2 linked regions of the Mytilus edulis genome follow. The protein of the gene in region 1 interacts with the protein of each later gene in a biochemical or structural test. Links are inferred from orthologs where the notes say so. Each region holds a gene or a part of one and is shown on either strand. Other genes may lie near its edges.

Region 1 (10,733 bases):
CTTGTTGTGGAACTTCCTGCATTGGCTCAGTTTTCACTTGTGCAGTTGTCTGAAAAGTAAATATAGTTTCGAATATTTTAAATTAAAAAATGTCTATACAAAACACAAAATAAACAAGAATGTGTCCAAAGTACACGGATGCCCCACTCGCACTATCATTTTCCATGTTCAATGGACCGTGAAATTGGATAATAAATATAATAAGGCATTAAAATTAGAAAGATAATATCATAGGGAACATGTGTACTAAGTTTCAAGTTGATTGGACTTCAACTTCATCAAAAGCTACCTTGACCAAAAACTTTAACCTGAAACATGCACTTTCATTTTCTATGTTCAGTGAACCGTGAAATTGGGGTCAAAAGTTTAATTTGGCTGTAAAATTAGAAAGATCATATCATAAGGAACATGTGTACTAAGTTTCAAGTTGATTGGACTTCAACTTCATCAAAAACTACCTTGACCAAAAACTTTAACCTGAAGCGGGACAGATGGACGAACGAACAGACGAACGGACGGACAGTACGACGGACGAACGGACGCACAGACCAGAAATCATAAGGCCCCTCTACTATCGTAGGTGGGGCATAAAAAATAAATCACTGAAGACCTTTAAAGTCATATGAAATGAGTGACTGGTGAAAAATAATGTTTATCCAATTCTTGAACCAATGCATGTTTATATCATAAACTAAGTCTTTTTACGCAAAAATATCGTAAAATCGTCATTTTTTTTTCGCTTTATCTGTTAAGAAGTGAAAATATGGCAGCTCATAAATTGTCGTGTTTTGAAGCCATAGTTTACCAATTGTGTCACCTTATAGTAAACAATCAACAAAGAAGTATGGATATTGAGCACGTGTATAACATGTACAATCAGATAATAGTTTATTTCAGTGACAGATCCATGTGAATTGCGATCACCGGATTTTTACGAGAAGGGTCACGCTAGGCTCACTTTAAATATGGAAAATATGTCGGCACATTGCTTAATGGAAGCAAGCATTTTAAAAAAAAAGTAAACTTCTTCTAAATGTGGACAAATTAAAGAATTTTCTTCAGAAAAAAAAGCATATGTACATAATTTTAATAATGACAATTATCCATTTTGTTATAAAAAAAAACATATGCATCATTTTTTTTTATTTGAGGTTTCATATGACTTTAATCTAAACATCTTTCTTTTGATATTTTTTTATTCCTACATGTATATGACCCTGTTTTTATGTATCAACCAATGGTTGAATGACCCATAGTTTAAGTATTTTTAATCAAAAGTAAATATACACAAGTAAATATCATGAATATACCAAATTTTAAATAACCTTTTCATGAAAGTACAGATATTTACATATATATTATGTATTTGAATATATTACCCCTGCTATTTTTCTTTTGATCTTATCTAACAAATGTTGCTGGCCTCTAATAAAGTACATGTGTTGGAACTCGAGGTCATCTGTTTCATCTTTGATTCCATGTTCTATGTGAGAAACTTTTCTAAAACCATCTGAAATTAAATATAATTGTTTAATTCTTAATCCTATGAGATATAACTAAGGGATGTTTTTAAATTGATTGTGGAGGGAGCAATAGGAGGCAAACAAATGAATCGAGGGTTTGCTCTTTAGGTTGGATATATTTAGAATTTTTCATAACACTGATTTTTCCACATTGTAATAGAAACATAAATAGTGTGAGGGAGGGTTCAAGATCCAGTAATTTCATGAGAAACAGAAGGGAAAAGTGTCAAAAAAAATTAGTGTTTAAGTCGATCTGTTCATGTGTTTATATATTGATCTCCTTCTAATCATTTCCCAAACTATAAAACACAAAATGATTGACGCGAGGAGCTTGGAAGTCTGACCAACCAAATATGGAATTGACGGCTTGAAGTGGCAAAAAAATATTGCTTTAGGCGAAATAGGTGAAAAAGAAAATTGATACAGGGGAAAGAAACCCTTAAACCGGCAAATGAACTTGCATCTTTAAAAATACCAATGTTTGTGTATGTGGACATCAATATTGCCATTAACTACTTACACATATTTAGTTGCCTTATAAAGCTGGCAATATTACTGTGTTTGAAGTAATGTGGTAGAATGTCTTTTGCAAATCTGCCTTGATCATAAACATGGAAACTGGTTCCATTCTGAAATAAAAATACAACATGTTAGCATCACAGAAAAAAACACAGTAAAACTAACAAGATTATATAATCAATTAAACAGAAAACATCAACACATTACCAGCATTCCAAGTCATTTGATTCCAGGGTCCAGGGAAGTGTTTTTTCCTCCTTAGCACAAGAGTAAAACAAATGCTAGTGTCAGGTGTACGGTGTGGTGCTGTAGATGTAAAAGGCACAGATTTGAGACCAGGTACATTTTATAGGTGGCAAAGATTTTCCTAAATAGATTTAATTGGGATTAATTAAGTGATTCTCAGGACAGCAAACTAGCATTTTACTTCAGAATCTAAATTCAAAAGGGATTGAGATGTCGATTGCATCATTGTACATAAAAAAAACACAAACATAGAAAACCAAAGACTGAGCAACCCTCACCCCACCAAATGCAGCGAGTAACCTAAGTTGTAACTGAAGAGTAAGCAAATCTTGCTGCACATAAACAGGAGCTATATGCCTTCGAATCGCAAGATCCCTTCTTTTAATAAAATTAAATTGAAAATAGGTTCTCTGTTTGAACAAGTTGAGCAAACAATCCTGTCTTTTCATTTAAAAGAGAAGATAGCAATCAAATAAACCTGAATTTTGAACTTGGAGTTGGATAAATTGGGTCATGTGTCTTTGTTGCAGTTCCTTGAAATTCACCTGGTTTAACAGGTAATAATTAATTAATGACAAGTGGATATTAGAATCAAGCTCAATGGTCGCCAATGTAACCAGAGAGCATGATTCTTCTTGCAAAATCGCAGGTCTCCACCGGGACATGAAATCGGGACCTCTGTCAGTCTGTGTTATAATTTTATTGAAAATCAAGGGTGACACAAACTTCTCCCTCATGCTTCTTAAGAGCAGTAAGGAATCTTAGGACTATAATATCGTCTTTTTACACTGGTGTGGTGACCCATGCACTACATGTCAAGAATAATTTATAAGGATATATATAACTTATCCTGGAATGTTGGTAAGTCGTTATCCTAAGGACATTTTTTTATATTTTTTTCTGTAGACTTAGCTTTGATTTTTTATTACCATGCATTGTCAAGCTTGGTAACTCATAATTGTTTCTCAGTAACTCAATGTACGATGCTGCCCCATACTGAACCTACTGACCTTGCTTTGTTTACATTCAAATTCCAATGGCGTCAAAATCACGTGATGTAAAATCGTTCTACCCAATCAAATTGCTCTACTGTCAATTACAAATGTAGGTGATTTTTCAGTCTACCGCAATTACGTTATTTGTTTGTGGGATATTGCTTTAAAATACATGTAGTTTGCAATAATTTGGGGTTTTATTCAACAGGAAACCTCATTTTTTGCCATCCTCATCAATGGAATTTTGTATGAATATTTACCATTTACAGTCATGATGGTCAGAATATCGATCTTTTATAATGAATAAAAAAAAAATTCTATGAAAAATAAATGTAAATTGTTTTTTATTAACCTACTTTATATTCCTGACCAAAATTATGGCATGGACATCGTTTTTTCATATAGTTTTCCTTTCATTTTGGTTGGGCTTTTTTCGCGGGAAAATTGCGAAAGACGTAGGGAGCATGTCATTTTGAAATTCTTAAAAATACAATTTGCTTGACTTATATTGCCTGCCACAAGATTGATGACGCTGAATGGAATGACACACAAAGCAATTGAGGCCGGAAGTGGGATTTTGTGAAGTTCTAGAATGTTTTTAGAATTCGAAAGTCAGGATTGAAACGGGCATTATAGTCCACGTCACGTAAAATTGGCACCCTGTTTTTTGTTAAAATTTTTTTAAATATCAGCCGCGTTTACTCAAGATGGTGTTTTTCTTTTAGCTGAAGTAAAATCCTGTCCAAATATCCACTACTGTCCTACCTTTTATTGTGTTTGCACTGTATAATCCTGACCTTCACATTTTTCAAGATTATTTACATTGTATAACCGCCATCTTGGTTTCTATGAGGGTCCCTTATTCCATAACATTCGTTACTCTCCGGTAATATCATTGTCATTGATGATACAATTTCCCGCGCTTTTTACGTAAAGATGACGAAAAGCTCCGAGAGACACAAGAAAATGGAGAGCACGTGGAATACTTCCGGTAATAACTATGTCGGATTCCACCATACAAATTAATCTTGGATTATGTGAAGGTCAGGATTATACAGTGCAAACACAATAAAAGGTAGGACAGTAGTTGATTTTTGGAATGATATTTGATTACGCTAATTCAAAAACATGATCTTTAATAAACGCGGTCGATATTTAAGAAAATTTTGACAAAAACATGGTGCCAATTTTACATGACGGCGACTATAGAAAATTGGCATTTTTTAGCCATAATTGAGAACAACAATGAAAACTTACCTTTAGAAATGTTTTTTTATTCAAAAGAGCAGAAAAAACGTATTCTGCAGTGTTTTTCTATTCAGGAAGTAGCGTAGTGACGTCAATGTGTAGTTTCCCCGTGTGTTAAGTTCAAACACAAATACCTAACAAACTGACAAGATGACCGATTTTAGACTACGGTAGGATATAACTTTTTCAGTTTTGTTGGAAAATTAATCATATATCAAATAAAGATCATTATATCACACATGTCTCAATTTCAGTGGGTTTTTTTTTCGTTATTACGTTGACGGACAACAACTTTTTAAATCAACAGGTAAACTAAGTAGACTGAATTTGATCCTAATAGTACCCTCCCCCTTTTTTATGTATTTATTGATTATGTCATGTTGTTGTAGTTTACCTCGCCCCAACAAATCAAATCATCGACCATAGGGTTTTCTACAAGTGTCCATAGCTTTGTTAGAAAGGCTGGAACAGTGCTAGGCATGTTTTGAGAAGTGTTATTCACAATGTACATATCCGACATCACGAATTCAGTTATTTTTTCTGTTAGCGCATGTGCCGATCGAATCAACACTATACGAAGATGGAATATATTTCGGCACTTTTTCTTTCAAAAAGTTCTATAACATAATTTCTAGATATTCATATAAAACAAAAACAAAAATAATTGATTTTTGCTAAGATGAGCTGTTATTATATGATCCAGAATTTACATGGTGCAATGTTTTAATTTAGATTAAAGGGTTCATTTAATGTGATCTTGTCAACTGTCCGAACTTTACCGAAGTCTGCATTTCACCGATTGTCGGCCGGTCGGCCTTGATTAAAAATATTATAATCTGATCGTCAAACAAACAGTTTCTAATACAGTCAGGATTCAACTTCGTCAAAATTATCTCCCCATTACGCCAGTTCATTTTCACAATCGTAGAAATGGAAGCCATTGTAGAGGGGGGATAGGACCTTTATCGGGACTCCGGGATCGGGTGTTTTTAAGCTCGGGATTTCGGGATTGACCCTCTCGGGATCCGGGAATCCTTTTTTTCGGATTTCGGGACGTCGGGATTTACTTTATTTAAATTCGGGACCTCGGGATTTCGTTTTTTTAAGTCCGGGATTTCGGGATCAGGACCCCTCCTATCCCCCCTCATTGTAGGGATGACCGTCTCTGCCAATTTTGCTCTTGGAAACCGATAAATTTATCCACATCGGTTGCACCATTACGATCCTGATATGCCAGTTGTATTTTAAAAGACAAATGTATCAACTAGAAAATGGGCATCAGTTAATGATCTTGTCTGCATTGATTCAACTTAAAACTATTGTCTGATCGGTTGTCAGGTGGAATTTTCGAAAATTCATAAACATTTAAAAAAAAATTAATTAAATATTTCGTGGAAGGGCAGACTAGATTTTTTTAGTGGTTGAAGTCAAGACTATAAACCCTAGTTATCACACACAAAAAAAATATAATTTTTTTTCGAAGATATGCATTTTCATCATCCAACTTGAAAGACTGTCGTCAAGTACTTTTAGTAAAAAAAATAGCTATTCGAATCTGTTTTTGTGATTCATTAGAGAGGTATTTCACTTGACCCATATATTTCATTTTTTAGCACTGTGATTTTCTTATGTTATAAAGTCAACCTGTAGCTTTGATATGTAAAAATGATAGAAACTGAAGCGAGACGATGTATGAAATATTCTTGCTTTGTACGATATCGAGACAAAATGTTCAACTCAAACACGCCCTAACATAAAAAGGTGCACTCGATTTTCTCTTTTCGATACAATTGTTACCCTTTTTTTGGAATTTTTTCTTGAGTCACATAATGGAAGGGTAGACACGAAAATTAGTGAACTAATAGATTGATATGTTTTCCGTCCGTGGTAAAAAAAATAATAAAATCGGAGGTTATGCATTTTCTACATCCAACTTGAAAGATACCCATGTCGTCGACTTGATATCTAATATGAAATTGTAAAAGTACTATGATGATGTACACAGAAGAAATGTTTAACATAATATGTGATTCTATATTATTTATCGCGATTGATGTCTCAGATTTTTAATCTATAATAAGAAATGGAAGTCTTCCACCGTTTCCATCATTTTTCTTTGTATTTTCTGGTGCTATCTTTTTTTTGTTCATGTTGCATTTATATGTTGCTTCTTAACGTAATTGTCTTTCTGTTCCCACAAAAGTGTATGTACAATCTTTACATAATCTTACCGTGAATTAAGGGCCATAAGTTACGAGTTCAATTTGCTAGTGTTTGATATCTAGTATTTATATTTACCATCAACTGTTGATATCGTGTAATATGACTGTCGGACAGTGTTCGGAGGTCACCAAGATGGTTAATTAGATGACGTCAATAAATAGAATAAAATACACTCGACTGAATGCGGTTATAATTAATGAATAAAGTATCAGGACTATCAGGTACATGCACCTTAAATTGTTTAGACTTTTCAGTATAATTTGGAAAAAACGTTTTAGTATGTAAATTTAAAAAAATAAGATAATTTAAATCAAATCAATGAACATGAATTTAACAGCTAACCCCCCTTATGCGTGACCCATACTTTTTTTATTATATTTTATTTTGAAACAGCAAGATACACACTACATTTTTGCAAATCACTAAAACATTCTATCTTTTGACATTTATTCCCCCCCCCCAGGAAAAAGGATAAATCTACCTTAAAATACACTAACAAAACAGACGCGTATCCAGGGCTTAAAGCGGGGGGGGGGGAGAGATTTTTATTTGATCCCCTCATACAAATATTTAAAAGAATCTGATCCCCACTATTAAACATACCCAAATGTTTTAAAACATGCAAAACACTTATCATATTATTTTACGGAAATATTGCAAACATGAAATATTCTTAGTGGATTGAGTCCAAAAACATATTTGAAGGAACATTGCCATGAAATAGCCTAGGACTCTTCCATGAATATCATTAGGTAGAGCAAGCCAGTGCTTTTGGAAGCTTTTTCTGACCTTTTCCTCCTTATCTCCTATATTGGGCTATTAAAGAAAGCTTGTTCCTAAGTAACTCTGGCTCTCGCAAGAACGCTGCGTAAACTTAAGTTTTACGTTATTGAAATCTCGATCCCTTGAGTGGATAGTTTATGCTTTCAGCTTGAACAATCAAATACTCATAATTGTCACATTTCATTCATAAATGTGTGAATGTAACTCCAAAAAAAATATTATTAGCCTAAAATGTACAAATTTTGAGGGAATGAGAGGTATAAAAATGGACCCAAAAGGATCTTATAATGAAAACATAAAGGTATATAAGTGATGTTCATCGTCTCAGAATCATCTTTGTGTCAACATTTAACAGTTTTTATGCAGATTAGATGAATATTTGATCATTTATTGGAGAATTTATTACTCTACACTATATTATACATGATGCGGCGTGATTTGAATTGTTTGACACAACTTTGCACAAATCGCTGTTAGATTTCCTTAAGATTTACACTTCACTTCTCTCAAACTGTCCAGGTGATTATAACAAAACTATGAAGTAATGCTTGTTAATGTAGTGATTGACGTGAGTGGCTGAATATAACGACATGATTATTCGTGTTATGAAGCGCCAATGCATTTTATATGGAACAAAATGACACAAAATTGCAGATTCCTACATCACCAAAGTCATGTGTTGTTTTACTTAATTGTTACAGTACATGAATGGTGGTAAAACTATTTTTCCATTTGATTGTTCTTCTTGACATTTTGTCTCTTTAACTTTAAGTATGTAAACTCTCATTTCCATATGCATAAAATATTGATCCTCCACTTTGAATTTATAAACAAAATTTGAACCCCACTTTTCCACATACAGAAAAAAACTTGACCCCCTGTATTTTGACCAGCCCCCCTCCCTTTCCCAGGTAAAAAATGATAAGTCCCAGAATTGTGACTTGGATGGAGAGTTGTCTCATTGGCACTCATACCGCATCTTCTATGGCTATTTAAAAATTACTTTTGTTATTTAATCACAGATCTTATCCGCCCATTTTTGCAATTGCTCAGCTGTATCAGCCCTTGCGTCTATTCCACTATAGCTGGCTTTTCATGTGTGTGAGTAAAGTCTAATTGTGCTGAGATTTTCATTCATCATTTGCTTTTATCCAGTTCTGAACTGGTTTCTTAACAAACTGTACGAGGTTGTGGTCAGTAGCGAACAAATTGCAAAATTTGCAGCAAACTCCGTCCTGCGTAGTTGAAGGGACAATCCATTGGAAATAGTGCAGCCACGCATATTTGAAACATCTTTTCAACCCGTAGATTTCTTGTTTTCGTAAAAGGAAAAGAACTAGGTGGGTTTCGGTTTTTATTTAAGCACTAGATACAGATGTGGAAATAAAGTTGGAATATCCTTAGATTCAGCAGGCGTCTCAGCAGTTGCAGAATTTTCTTTATAAAAAAAAAGAAAAAAAAGCGATTTCCAAGTAGGGGTTCCGCTAATGCAACACTATGGTTTTCAATGATTTTCTTTGTAGCTTAAAAGACTGTATTTGCTAATTGGTAAATCATGTAAGTCTACAGAAAAAACACTAAAGCACGTTAATATAATAAGTAAAAATAAAAATAAAACGGCAAAATATACGGCCTTGGATATCAGTCATGTGTATGACATGCTATTAAGGTGATGAAAGAGACACGAGTGTGCCCTCAAGACGTCCATCTTTATCTGGTTAAATATCGCCATGAAACTGTAAATTATGACTGTGTACAATGTTTTTAGGTGATGTAGTGTGAATATATACAGATATATACACTCTTTTTAATTCTTTTTGTATTATAACTACATAAATACAGCAATATAGTAAACTGGAGATGTACAATTCGAGTTACTTTATAGTTTTCTTTTTAAAACTAACCAAGGAGCTAGGTCATATAACCTCCTTGAACTAACTTATCAACCCATTTTCTGATAAGAAATCTTCATTCTTTTATGATTTAAGTTTTTATAATAATTTTATCGTGTTTAGTCCCCAACTTAATTAGCTGAAAATAGTGTCACTTTAAACTTTTAAAACTTAAAAATTTCTCCGTTGAGTTTTATGGTAGTGGAGTCTGAATTTAGCATTGATTTCATTTTGTATAATACAAATATATTTTTACTTCTGAAGTGTGTCTATAAGCAACATAATTTGTCATGAGTCACTAAGAAAAACAAATCTAACAAAGCATAATTATGAATAGCCCCACGGTAAAAATGAAGTTTTGCGTATGTGTCACTTGGATGAGACAGCAACCATTGAGCACAAAATCAAAAGACGAAGAAAACAATATACGGCTTTATAATATGTCGAAATAGCACCGAGTCTAAAAAAAATAGTAACTACTTGTACTAAAATTATTTCATCAATACCAAATTAGATAAAGGAAATAAACAAAACTGACTCTTCCACTGACAAAGCTCTTGCAGTGGCGGATCCAGAGGGGGGGGTCCGAGGGTTGGAACCCCCCTTTTTTTTGGCCGATCAATGCATTTGAATGGGAGCATATAGTTGGAACCCCCCCTTTACTCTGGGTTGGGAACCCCCTTTTTTTAAAATGGCTGGATCCGCGCTTGTCTTGACTTGGGACAGGTGCTTGGTGTATTATCAACCCAGCCCCTCTTGGGTTCTATAAGTGTACTAAACGACTCGTGAGGTACATAAAAGAATATGCAATAACACATCAATTATCTCTTCAAACAGTATAAGGTTTTATTAATGGTAAAACTGAGGTACATGTATTACAATATAGATTAGATATAAAAATAAGAAAATAACATCAACCAGAAACCAAATAACGTATGGAATGTTAGCACAAGAGGAAACTATTAAACGAAGAGTTTCAAATGCTGAAGTGGAAATCATTTTTTTTTTGTGATTTTTTCAGACGCCATCACGAGTTGGTTGACAGTTAAGGAATATCGGTTTCACAGGTGATCGCGGATATGTTCCTAATGTCGAAGCCACAATCCCGTCCCTTTTTCCCAAATGTGACTTACCGAATTACACCTTTTATCGATCATTATCGGGTTGTTTTACTAACGTAAGCAACACGACGGTTGCCACATGTGGAGCAGGATCAGCTAACCCTTCCGTGGCACCTGACCCCCCGCCCCCCCCCCCCTCGGTTTTTGGTAGGGTTCGTGTGGCTCAGTCTTGATTGTTCTATG
Region 2 (10,733 bases), on another chromosome or scaffold:
GGCCATGTTTGTCAAATTTGCAGATCTTTAAGGCCAGAAAGTAATCCTCAATAAGAATGATCCATCTCATCTGGATTCATTTATTTGTGTCGATACCAAAGTTCGTAGAATGAAAAAAACTTACATTTTCAAGGATAAATGATTTGATAAGATTTGCCAAAGCCTGTATTAAAGCCTTTATTGAACTTTCAAATTTGTGGTTCATCCATATCCATGAAATCATTGAAAATTGGTATCCCATGAATCCTATAAATGACTTTACAGTATCCTCTGATTAACTTACAGACTCCAAATCCATATCACCAGCCCCTCCATCTCCTCCTCCTGCTCCTTCATAATCGGAGTCATCTTCATCTTTCCATTTGTTAAAATCTGTTTTTAACCAATGTACCTACAATCAAAGATAACCACATCTATAACATATTATTCTTTACAATATGTTTTACAAAACTTGTTTCTAGGAATAATTCCATCAAAGAATCATATGCAAACAAAAGAACATATATCTAAAAAAGGTAAACATTTTTTACATATTTTTTTTCAACAGCTTTCTGACAGGACATGAAAAGAAAACCAGTTCCAGGGGTGGACCTGAGAGACAGTGTATAATTTAAAAGTATCTGCAAACAGGAAGTAGCTACAGGGTAGATCTAAATATTGCTTACACACTACATCTCACCATTACAAGCTAAGGACCAACCATAAAATCATTTCTTTTTGAAGAGGCCAAGAAAACTTGAAAGTTTTCTAATCAATGTTTTTTGGATATATGGACAGAATGATAGATGGAGTAGAGCAGTTCTAGTTTCACCATATGCAACACTGGAAAAAAAGATTATTTTTTTTTCTATTGGTATTTCACAATTTCAGGTATTATTGTTATCTCACCTCCTTTTGTAACTGAACACATTTGTCATATGACAAAGCCTATCCCTTTGTAAAATAATAATAAATTCTAAGTCCATTCATTAGAATTTTAACCAGACAGAATCTGTACAACATAGATTCAAACACTTACTTTAGTTTTTTCTTTTAATAATCTCGGCCAAAAATGTTCTTCAGTGGTGTCTTTCTTTTTTAAAATCAATGATATATGTCTAGGTAAAACTGCATACTTTGATTCCTGCAAGACAAAAAAAAACATTTGTGAAATATGTAAAATTTCCTCATATATTTAACACACTACCTCCAAAATACCAATGGGATTACATACAATCTTTACCAAAATTTAGTCTCAGAAAAATGTAAAAAAAATATCACCTAGAGGACTTACTTTGACATGGTGTTTACAGCTCTTTTATAGAAGCATGCAAAGAAAACCATTGATCAACTTGCTTGCTATGTTTGTTTGGATGTTTGTAAACAACAGGTAGGTAGTTTGTTTACTATATACTGGCATTTGATTGGGCAATAAACATTCACTTCAATTCATATCCAATCAAATCCCAGTATATATTGAAACTCCGCCTACCTATTGTTTGCAAACAACCAAGCAAACATAGCAAGCAAGTTGATCAAAATTTTGTTTTGCATGCTTTTATAGAAAAGCTGTAAATAATGGAAATTATTTGAAATCTTCATTATCATTCTGACATGGATTAATGATCTGATATCAACAAAAGCCTATTCAAAATTCAATTCCTGTTAAGGTGGTACATGTATTGTATAAATGTACATGTACACATATATAGGCATACTTTTTTCTACAGAGCAAAATATTTGTTAATTCTAAAGAGTACCTGTGTCAATCCTGTTAGTTTTGCTAGAACATCAGATTTAAATTTAAGATGCTATATACTGATATTTTCTTACTTTGCTATCTATTTCTTTGAAAAAGTCTATTTTTGCTTCATGTAGTTTATTTTCTGTTCCTCCTTTGCCCCTGAAATAGATATATATGCTATTGTTTATTGACATGTATTATGTAGTGACATATCAAAACTAGAGGCTCTAAAGAGCCTGTGTCACTCACCTTGGTCTATGTGAATATTAAACAAAGGAAGCAGATGGATTGATGATAAAATTGTGTTTTGGTGATGGTGATGTGTTTGGACATCTTACTTTACTGAACATTCTTGCTGCTTACAATTATCTCTATCTATAATGAACTTAGCCTAGTAGTTTCAGTGGAAAATGTTAGTAAAAATTTACAAATTTTAAGAAAATTGTTAAAAATTGACTTCAAAGGACAATAACTCCTTAGGAGGTCAATTGACCATTTCAGTCAAGTTGACTTATTTGTAAATCTTACTTTGCTGAACATTATTGCTGTTTACATTTTATCTTTATCTATAATAATATTCAAGATAATAACCAAAAACAGCAAAATTTCCTTAAAATTACCAATTCAGGGGAAGCAACCCAACAAAGGGTTGTCCGATTCACCTGAAAATTTCAGTGCAAATACATCTTGACCTGATAAACAATTTTACTCCATGTCAGATTTGCTCTAAATGCTTTGGTTTTTGAGTTGTAAGCCAAAAACTGCATTTTACCCCTATGTTCTATTTTTAGCCATGGCGGCCATCTTGGTTGGTTGGCCTTGTCACCGGACACATTTTTTAAACTAGATACCCCAATGATGATTGTGGCCAAGTTTGGTTAAATTTGGCCCAGTAGTTTCAGAGGAGAAGATTTTTGTAAAAGTTAACGACGCTGGACGCAAAGTGATGGGAAAGGCTCACTTGACCCTTCGGGTCAGGTGAGCTAAAAAATTATAAGGTTAAGGTGGCTTGCATATTGTTTTACTATAATACATTTATTCTTTATTGATTTCATAGACTATTGAAGTGGTCAAGGTACATTTGTTAGTCTATCCTTTCACACATAAAATGTTTTCAATTTCTCATTTACAGACTTAAACCAAGAGCTTACATGTAACCCTGATAAATAACAAATGTAAAATCACAGTGCAACCCAAAAGGTGAATCAGTCTAAAATTGGGGATGGAAATTTCAAAGGATTCCAGTGGCCCATTTATGGCCTACTAATGTTTACCATACTTTTGCAGTTGCTTGATCCTATAACAAATACAATTACATTGACTGGGCTACAACTTAAAAAACTTATATTCCATCCCTGAAATTGTGTGTTGCATGTACAAATGGTATAATATAAATATTGAAATCCCATCACCAGGAATTTGTTCATATCAACTGACTTATTTGGTCCTTAATAAGTCACAATGTAAGTTCCCAAAAACTGATTTCAGGAGTAATTATATTGTGGAAATACTTACTTAAAGTGTAAACCTGTGTCTGTTATTTCTATGTTTGGTTCTTTACAGTCTTCTAATACAATGGTCAGTAACACTCTATCTTTTCGTTGGGCCCATTCCATAGGTGTATGCAATACTTGTCTGAAAAATAAATCATTCAAATTATACTAGTACATACAAATGAAGGTTGACATGGTCATTTAATATGATCTCATGTCATTTAAGTTTTTCACCTTATCAATTTGTGCATGAATTAGAACAGACCTATCTAACAATATAAATATAACAACCATCACCTTAGTCTTAGAAGCCAAGGATATACCTTGTTAATCAATATTTTACAGTCTATCTTTGAGAAATTTTAGGACACAAATCAATTTTTCTAATGTATATCAAGTGTTTTGACAATATGTAACTACATCCAATTCAAGTGCTTCTTTAATTATTCAAAGGGACTTTTCACTGCTCCAAGGTATATAATAAAAAAAAATTGAGGCTTCTTAAATAATTAGTTTCTTAAACTCAAACAGCTGAGAAGCCAAAATATCCCTTGTAAATCAATATTTTACAGTCTATCTTTGAGAAATTTTAGGACACAAATCAATTTTTCTAGTATGTATATCAAGTGTTTTGACAATATGTAACTACATCCAAGTGCTTCTTTAATTATTCAAAGGGACCTTTCACTGCTCCAAGGTATATAATAAAAAAAAATTGAGGCTTCTTAAATAATTAGTTTCTTAAACTCAAACAGCTGAGGAGGATGAAGGCAGGTGGGTGATGGCCCACATACTGAGTTTTGTGAATACACAAACTGCATAGGCTAATCTTTTTACAAGTATTACACTCCAAACAAAGGGGCTTGTTACAATTGCCGGGTTTACTATCCATACGAACCCCTAAAAAAACACAAGGGAGGAAGCTAATTTGCGACAATGCTTCAAATTATTGTTGTAAATTTTTTCTAAGACTTTCACTTACTTTGTGACCTGAATAAATATGTTCCCACTTGAATTATCTCTCCAATGACATATATTTGTTAACTTAAATAACCTCTATAACTATTGTAATCAATAAAACAAACTCGACATTTTTGAAATAGAACGAATCGAGGCCCTACATTTGAAAATGAAAGAACTAAAGCGACACCTACCGGAAAATTTATTTTCGGCTCTCTCTGGAGTTTACCGAAATATGAGGACGAAAGACAGTATGTTCCTAATAATTCCCGCCAATTTTTACATTATTGTAATAAAAAATACCGTAGACTTCCGAAAAGCGTAACATTTATGTAAACACCCGATAGTGCCGAAAATATATTTTCCGATAGGTGTCGCTTTAGCACTTTCATTTTCAAATGTAGGGCCTCGATTCTTTCTATTTCAAAAATGTCGAGTTTGTTTTATGGATTACAATAGTTATAGAGGTTATTTAAGGTAACAAATATATGTCATTGGAGAGATAATTCAAGTGGGAACATATTTATTCAGGTCACAAAGTAAGTGAAAGTCTTAGAAAAAATTTACAACAATAATTTGAAGCATTGTCGCAAATTAGCTTCCTCCCTTGTGTTTTTTAGGGGTTCGTATGGATAGTAAACCCGGCAATTGTAACAAGCCCCTGTGCTCCAAACGTTGGCTTGCCAGGGTCCCCCCCTTTTTTTAAATCCTGGATCTGCACTGAAAAGTGATTGATTAAGGAGAGAACTGTATATGTTGTAACAGTAAGTATATATTTTAAATTCTTTCACTAATTCTATAAAAATCCATTCTTAAATTGAAAGTACTATTGTGAACATGATGATGTCTGCAGGGCCATATATGTTTCTCAAACTTTCTGGAATCTTCTATAAGTTGTCTTCAGTATCCCGTGCATTTTAAAATTACGTGGGATTTACACCGCTACTACTTGTTCAAATGAATTATGCAAAAATATATGGTAAATATATAATGATATAACTTCTTCCATTCAAACTATCATTGATAAACGTTCTTGTTTTAATATTTTCTTTCGTTTCCACATGTAACTTACTCTTGATCGGCCATTTTCAACGCCATGTGAATTAGACTGGTACTCCAAACAATTTCAGATGAAGAGAAGACTAATAGAAACGAGAACAGGACAGAAAACCAGTGTCATAAAGTGCTTGGACTGGTTACTCAACCAAAGAGTAAAGGAGAAAAAAAAGAACCAGATTGGTTTTTTAAGCGAAACCACGTTTTATTGTAAAATTACACTATCAGTATCACAAAAGCTCGATGACAACAACAAAAATATGTCAGTTTTTATGAAATAGAAAATATAAGAGATTGCTTTGAGGATTTTTTTAAATAAAATATATTGACTGCAGAATTTGTTGACCTTGACACTTTGAATAACTGGATAGGTATTTCACGTTAAAAAAAATCATAAAATGGAATGAAAGTGACATGGCTCTTTTTACGGAAAATTTTAGAGTAAGTGACATCTTTAAAGACAGTATACGTGAAGGGTAAACATCAAACTTAATGATTAAGGATATAGTCTTAAATATATCAAGTATCATCATGATCATGCACAACTCATCAACTGAATTTATATATAATTAAAAAAGTTAAAAAGAAATCTGCAGTCTACATAAATTATTGATTATGATAATGATTATTATAAACGACAACCCTATTTGTACACAGAAGGAGGTTTGGGAGAATACTAGTATGTGTCATTCGTCTATTTTTCACTGACTTCAGCTGTTTTCAAGCTTCATGGTGATCTGTTTAGAAAATACCTATACTCTAACTTTTATTGTAACTACTTTTAGAGTTTCTGTACAACCTCTGTCCTTTTTAAAGGGGATAGTTAAAAGCTCATACACATGTTAACCAACCAAATTCTTGTGGCGCCTGACCTAAGACAGTAGACTGTAAGAAAGTGGTAGTCATTTGTTGCTGTTTGCCTTGTTTATGAATTTTCAACAGTTGTATACTACTGTTGCCTTTATTGTTCATATTGTTTGTTTTTCTAAAATTTTTGATTTTATACATTTTTTTTTGTACCATCCAAGTGTTTGTTAGTCCAAATAAATTTAACGTCTTAAAAGGCTATTATTTTTTTTTTCTTTGACGCCTTACATTGTTGCAGGAAGGCGTCAAAGCAAAAATTTAAAATATCCTTCCAAGACGTCATAATTATTTGGACTAGCAAGCTGTTGGCTTCTTGTGTATTCTGAGAAATACTTTTAAAAGTGTACATCAAAATGTTGTTATTGGTGAAAAAGGTACTAAACATTCATTTCACCAATGATGTAAAGTTGCTTTCATGTACATCTGCCTTTCTATGACTCTCGGGGGGTCCACTTCCTATATATATGTATATGAAAAAGTATACATTTTTGAAATTTAAATTATATGAAAAGGGTGGGTTATTTACAGAAACGCAGCAGCACCCCTATCAATTAAGTTTTGAAGTTTCCCGATCTATGACTTAAGGAGGCAGATGTAAGCAAATTTAGATCATGGTAAAGATTCAAAATTTGTAACAGCAATTGCCTTTCAAGTCTTTTTAATGACAATTTTATTAATTGTATAGAGTTATTGCCCTTTGTCCTTTAGCCATGATTTTGCTAATTTATTAGCTTTGCAAAACATAAAAAATGAAGATAAACTGTAAACAACCACATGAACAAAAACTATTAAGGTATAAAAATCTACAATTTCGTCCATATATACATGTATATCCAATTGTATGTCAGAAAAGTTATACTTATAATGCATGTAATGGTAGAACACTCATATTACAGTTCTTGTGTTGATATGGGTTACAATTAGATACTGATAGGTATATAGAAAAGAAGGTGTGGTATGACTTTTATGAATATGAGACAACTCTGCAAAGAAATTTTACAGCTTTAGGTCATAGTACTACCTTCAACAATGAGCAAAGCCTATACCACATCGTCAGCTATAAAATTCCAGAAATTACAAATATGAAACAAATCAAAGGAGAAAACTAACGGACTAATTAATGTACAAAAAATTAGAAACAAGAAAAAAACAGCAACCACTAAATTACAGACTCCTGACTTGGGACAGCATGACCAAGCACATACCTACAGAATGTGGCAGGGTAAACATGAAAGCGAAATCCAACCATCCCCTAATCTCAGACAGTAGTGTAACAGTACAACACAAGACAAACTATAAAAATCAGCTGAGAAAGGCTCAACTCATCAGATGGAAAAAAATAGAATTACATACATGTATAACAAAAACAGAGTGGAAGTGGCTGGGTTTGCTTGTTTTGAATTATACATATATCACTGTGACACATATATATATATACATTATATATATGTCATTTTTTTTGGTATGAAATTTAATTTAGATTCACAAATTTAGATAATCAGAAAGGCCCTGTGTGATGTGGCTACAGCAAGTAACATGCTTATTTTGTATTTTCACACAGTTAGATAATCTCAGGGAAACAGTTCTATATAAAAGCATTAAACAACTGCAAAGTTTTGACATCTTTATTTTCTCCTGCTTTCAAAATGGTTAGCAGCTGTTAAACTCTTTCAATTGTTAAATTTATAGCACCATGTTTAGTATCATTGCACATGAACTTTTTAAATTTCTTAGATATTCATGATATTATTGTGTTCCTCATTTTGAGGTGCATTAGGGATATTGACCCAAATAAAGTTAAACAGTTTAAATTGCCAGTATAAACTCGTAGTAACACATGTTTATTTACTATGGGAAATGTTGACCAACACCAAACTTGAATTATTTTCTACATTTGATGAAAATTTGGCCAAGCAATGGCTATGGGTACTGAGATTTCAATGATCAAAAATATGAGGTGTTATTTTATATTTAAAATTTTGGCCTGGAAATTTCCTTTGAAAAATAAATTTTTTACAAATGTTTGAATTTTGAAGAAAAAAATACAGTAGATAGGAACTGTAAGAGATAAAATTATCATCTTTTCTTTTTAATATTCCCATTTTGAAATGTTTTGGGCTAAAACTGGTAGCTTAATAGATAGAGAGGAAAAGTAAACAGAGTAGAGATTAAAGTTATGAATTATCATGATTATATATAAATTCTACAATGTTGCCATGTTGGAGAGTTGCCATTCTTGAAGATGCACACTAACCCAAGTGATCCTGAACTAAATGTCAGTGTCAATCTAATACTGATTAACTGCAGTTTATATACAATGTACATGTAGCTATATTTACTTTCTTTCACAAATGTAGGAGGCACCTTACTCTGATTTTACTGCATTAGTCTATGTAGTGAATGATCATGGTATTATTTTTGTGATTGCTCAATGTAATTAAAATGTACAATTCAACTGTAAGGCCACACCAATTTGATTCCTTGTTCGACGGACCCGTCCGCACCTTTTTCAAAACAGAATTTTTTTAATTTTTTTATATTCCCGCTTTCTGCATCCGGAAATGTAATCATGTCTATTTCCCGCACCGTTTTTTTTTGTAGATATTATAAAAAGATATCAACATTTGTTTCTTTCCCCCTTACTTATATTCCCTATCAAAAAATGTTCGTTGTTAGAATAAAGTACAAAGAACTTCTGAAGGATTTGCCTTCAACTGCAATTATATTTTATGCTGGCAAACAAAACTATCTATAGCCGCTGCATGTTTATGCACCTGTCCTGATTGATTCAGGGGCCTGTCGTGCAGCAGTTATCGTTTGTTGATGTTGTTCATTGGTATTTTCCCGTTTGGATATATAAATTTTCCTGTTCGAATTGTGTACGCTAATAATTTTGGGATCCTTTATAGCTTGCTGTTTGGTCTGTATCAAAGCCCTGTGTAAAAGGCCGTACTTTGACCTGTGTTTGTTATTGTCAGGTTGAGAACAACCCTCCCTCAGACAAGGGGTCATTTTACTGATGTAGAAAAGAAAATAGAAATACCAAGGATTTGTGTAGTTCTTCTATACAAAACCTTTAAAAACTTAGAATTTTGTACTCAAAGAGAGGAGAGTTACATCATATTTTAAATAACTTTTTCTAAAAGAGGGGTCCACTTATTTTGAATAATATTAAACTGTTAAAGTAAATGTGTTAACTTAACATGGTTAAAGTCCAGGAATATTACAAAATTCTTGGACATGTTTTGACCATTTAATACTAGATAGATATATAGTTCTTTGAGAAAATATAAGCCCTTCTGTACAAACAAATATATAATAACTTATATTGACCCCACATAAAACATGTAAAAGGGATATTTATAACATTAAGGGGTTGCCCCCAAACTGATTATGACTTGGATGGAGAATTGTCTCATTGTCAGTCACACATACATAGTCCAGATTTAATTATTTCTTGCTGAACAGGGAAAAAATACTTCAGAAATTAAAGAAATGTCAAAGTACAAGTTATAAATCAAGTTTTATTATTGTCAAAACCTACTATTTTATGTTTACAAAAAAAAAATTAATCGCTCGCCTTTACTTTTCAAGCTTCGCCTCAAAAATTTGCAAATTAAATATTTTTTATTAAAATTTTTCAAATCGCTCGCTCGCCCCAAATTTTGGAGTCCAATAATCCGTAGAACAAGAAATTAAATTGGTGTGGCCTAAAAGACATTATCCTGATTTAGAGTAGTTTCTCGCAATTTGATTGGCTGATATTGTCCTAATAAATTTCAGTACAATTTTTTATTACATGAATTGGAATTATCTCCCTTAATTATTACGTCTATTGGAGTTATATTTAATATTTTTAATTTTTCACAGTTTTAGATTAAGTATCTAAAATATACTTGGTTGATATTGTCCTAATATTGAATCTATACTATTAAACGAGAAGACCTAGTTTTGTGTGTCGTTTCACTTCCTTCCACAATAAATCAATCATCATGCCTCTGTGTCCTATAGGTAACATGCATAGTCGCATTTGTCATCCATTCTTATGATTATTCAGATTATGTTAGTTTGGGAGAAAAACGACTAAAAAGGAGTCCGAATATGATTCCGTCATCGGACTGACTTTTAGTTATATATAAGACTTCCGGTTTGAAACAGCACAAATACAACCAATCGTATGATAGATAACAAAAATGAAAAATAAATAAGCCAATCAGAGCGTTCTCCATATCATGGTGTTTATATCGCAGGAACCACAACTATTATAGCTCCTTAATATAGAGGACAACTATTTCTCGCATTTATCTACATGTAAACTACGATTATACAACTTTAATATATAGACTCTCTGTATTCTGTCAGGGACTTTCTATGTTAGTATAGAAAGTCCCTAATTCTGTCTACTGTTTTCTTTGAAATGTTTACTATTTAAGGGGTCATACTCCTTGCATACATATTAAAATAACGGTAAAACATGCTCAACTTCATCTAAAACTACATTTGTATCCCGACCAAAAACTTTAACCTGAAGCGGGACAGACTAGAAAATATAATGCCCATAAATGGGGCATAAACATTTATTGTTGAAAGGGAAAATAGTGATTTGGCAAAAACGAAAGTAAGGTAGAGATGAG

What was found.
Region 2: the proteins of heat shock factor protein-like (region 1) and co-chaperone protein daf-41-like form a complex in vitro, tested with the Homo sapiens proteins (2 studies listed by BioGRID). The link is inferred for Mytilus edulis from reciprocal best matches to the Homo sapiens genes HSF1 and PTGES3.

The regions. Positions count from the first base shown.
Region 1 is NC_092348.1:32,809,540-32,820,272, reverse strand, and holds the start of heat shock factor protein-like, read right to left. Parts: upstream 5,092-10,733; 5' UTR 5,052-5,091; coding exon 4,926-5,051; intron 2,153-4,925; coding exon 2,044-2,152; intron 1,511-2,043; coding exon 1,380-1,510; intron 50-1,379; coding exon 1-49. UniProt on the Homo sapiens protein: Functions as a stress-inducible and DNA-binding transcription factor that plays a central role in the transcriptional activation of the heat shock response (HSR), leading to the expression of a large class of molecular chaperones, heat shock proteins (HSPs), that protect cells from cellular insult damage.
Region 2 is NC_092345.1:91,426,530-91,437,262, forward strand, and holds the start of co-chaperone protein daf-41-like, read right to left. Parts: upstream 5,381-10,733; 5' UTR 5,275-5,380; coding exon 5,249-5,274; intron 3,359-5,248; coding exon 3,239-3,358; intron 1,883-3,238; coding exon 1,813-1,882; intron 1,124-1,812; coding exon 1,019-1,123; intron 392-1,018; coding exon 284-391; intron 1-283. Other genes in the region: nostrin-like, read left to right, coding at 5,647-5,673. UniProt on the Homo sapiens protein: Cytosolic prostaglandin synthase that catalyzes the oxidoreduction of prostaglandin endoperoxide H2 (PGH2) to prostaglandin E2 (PGE2).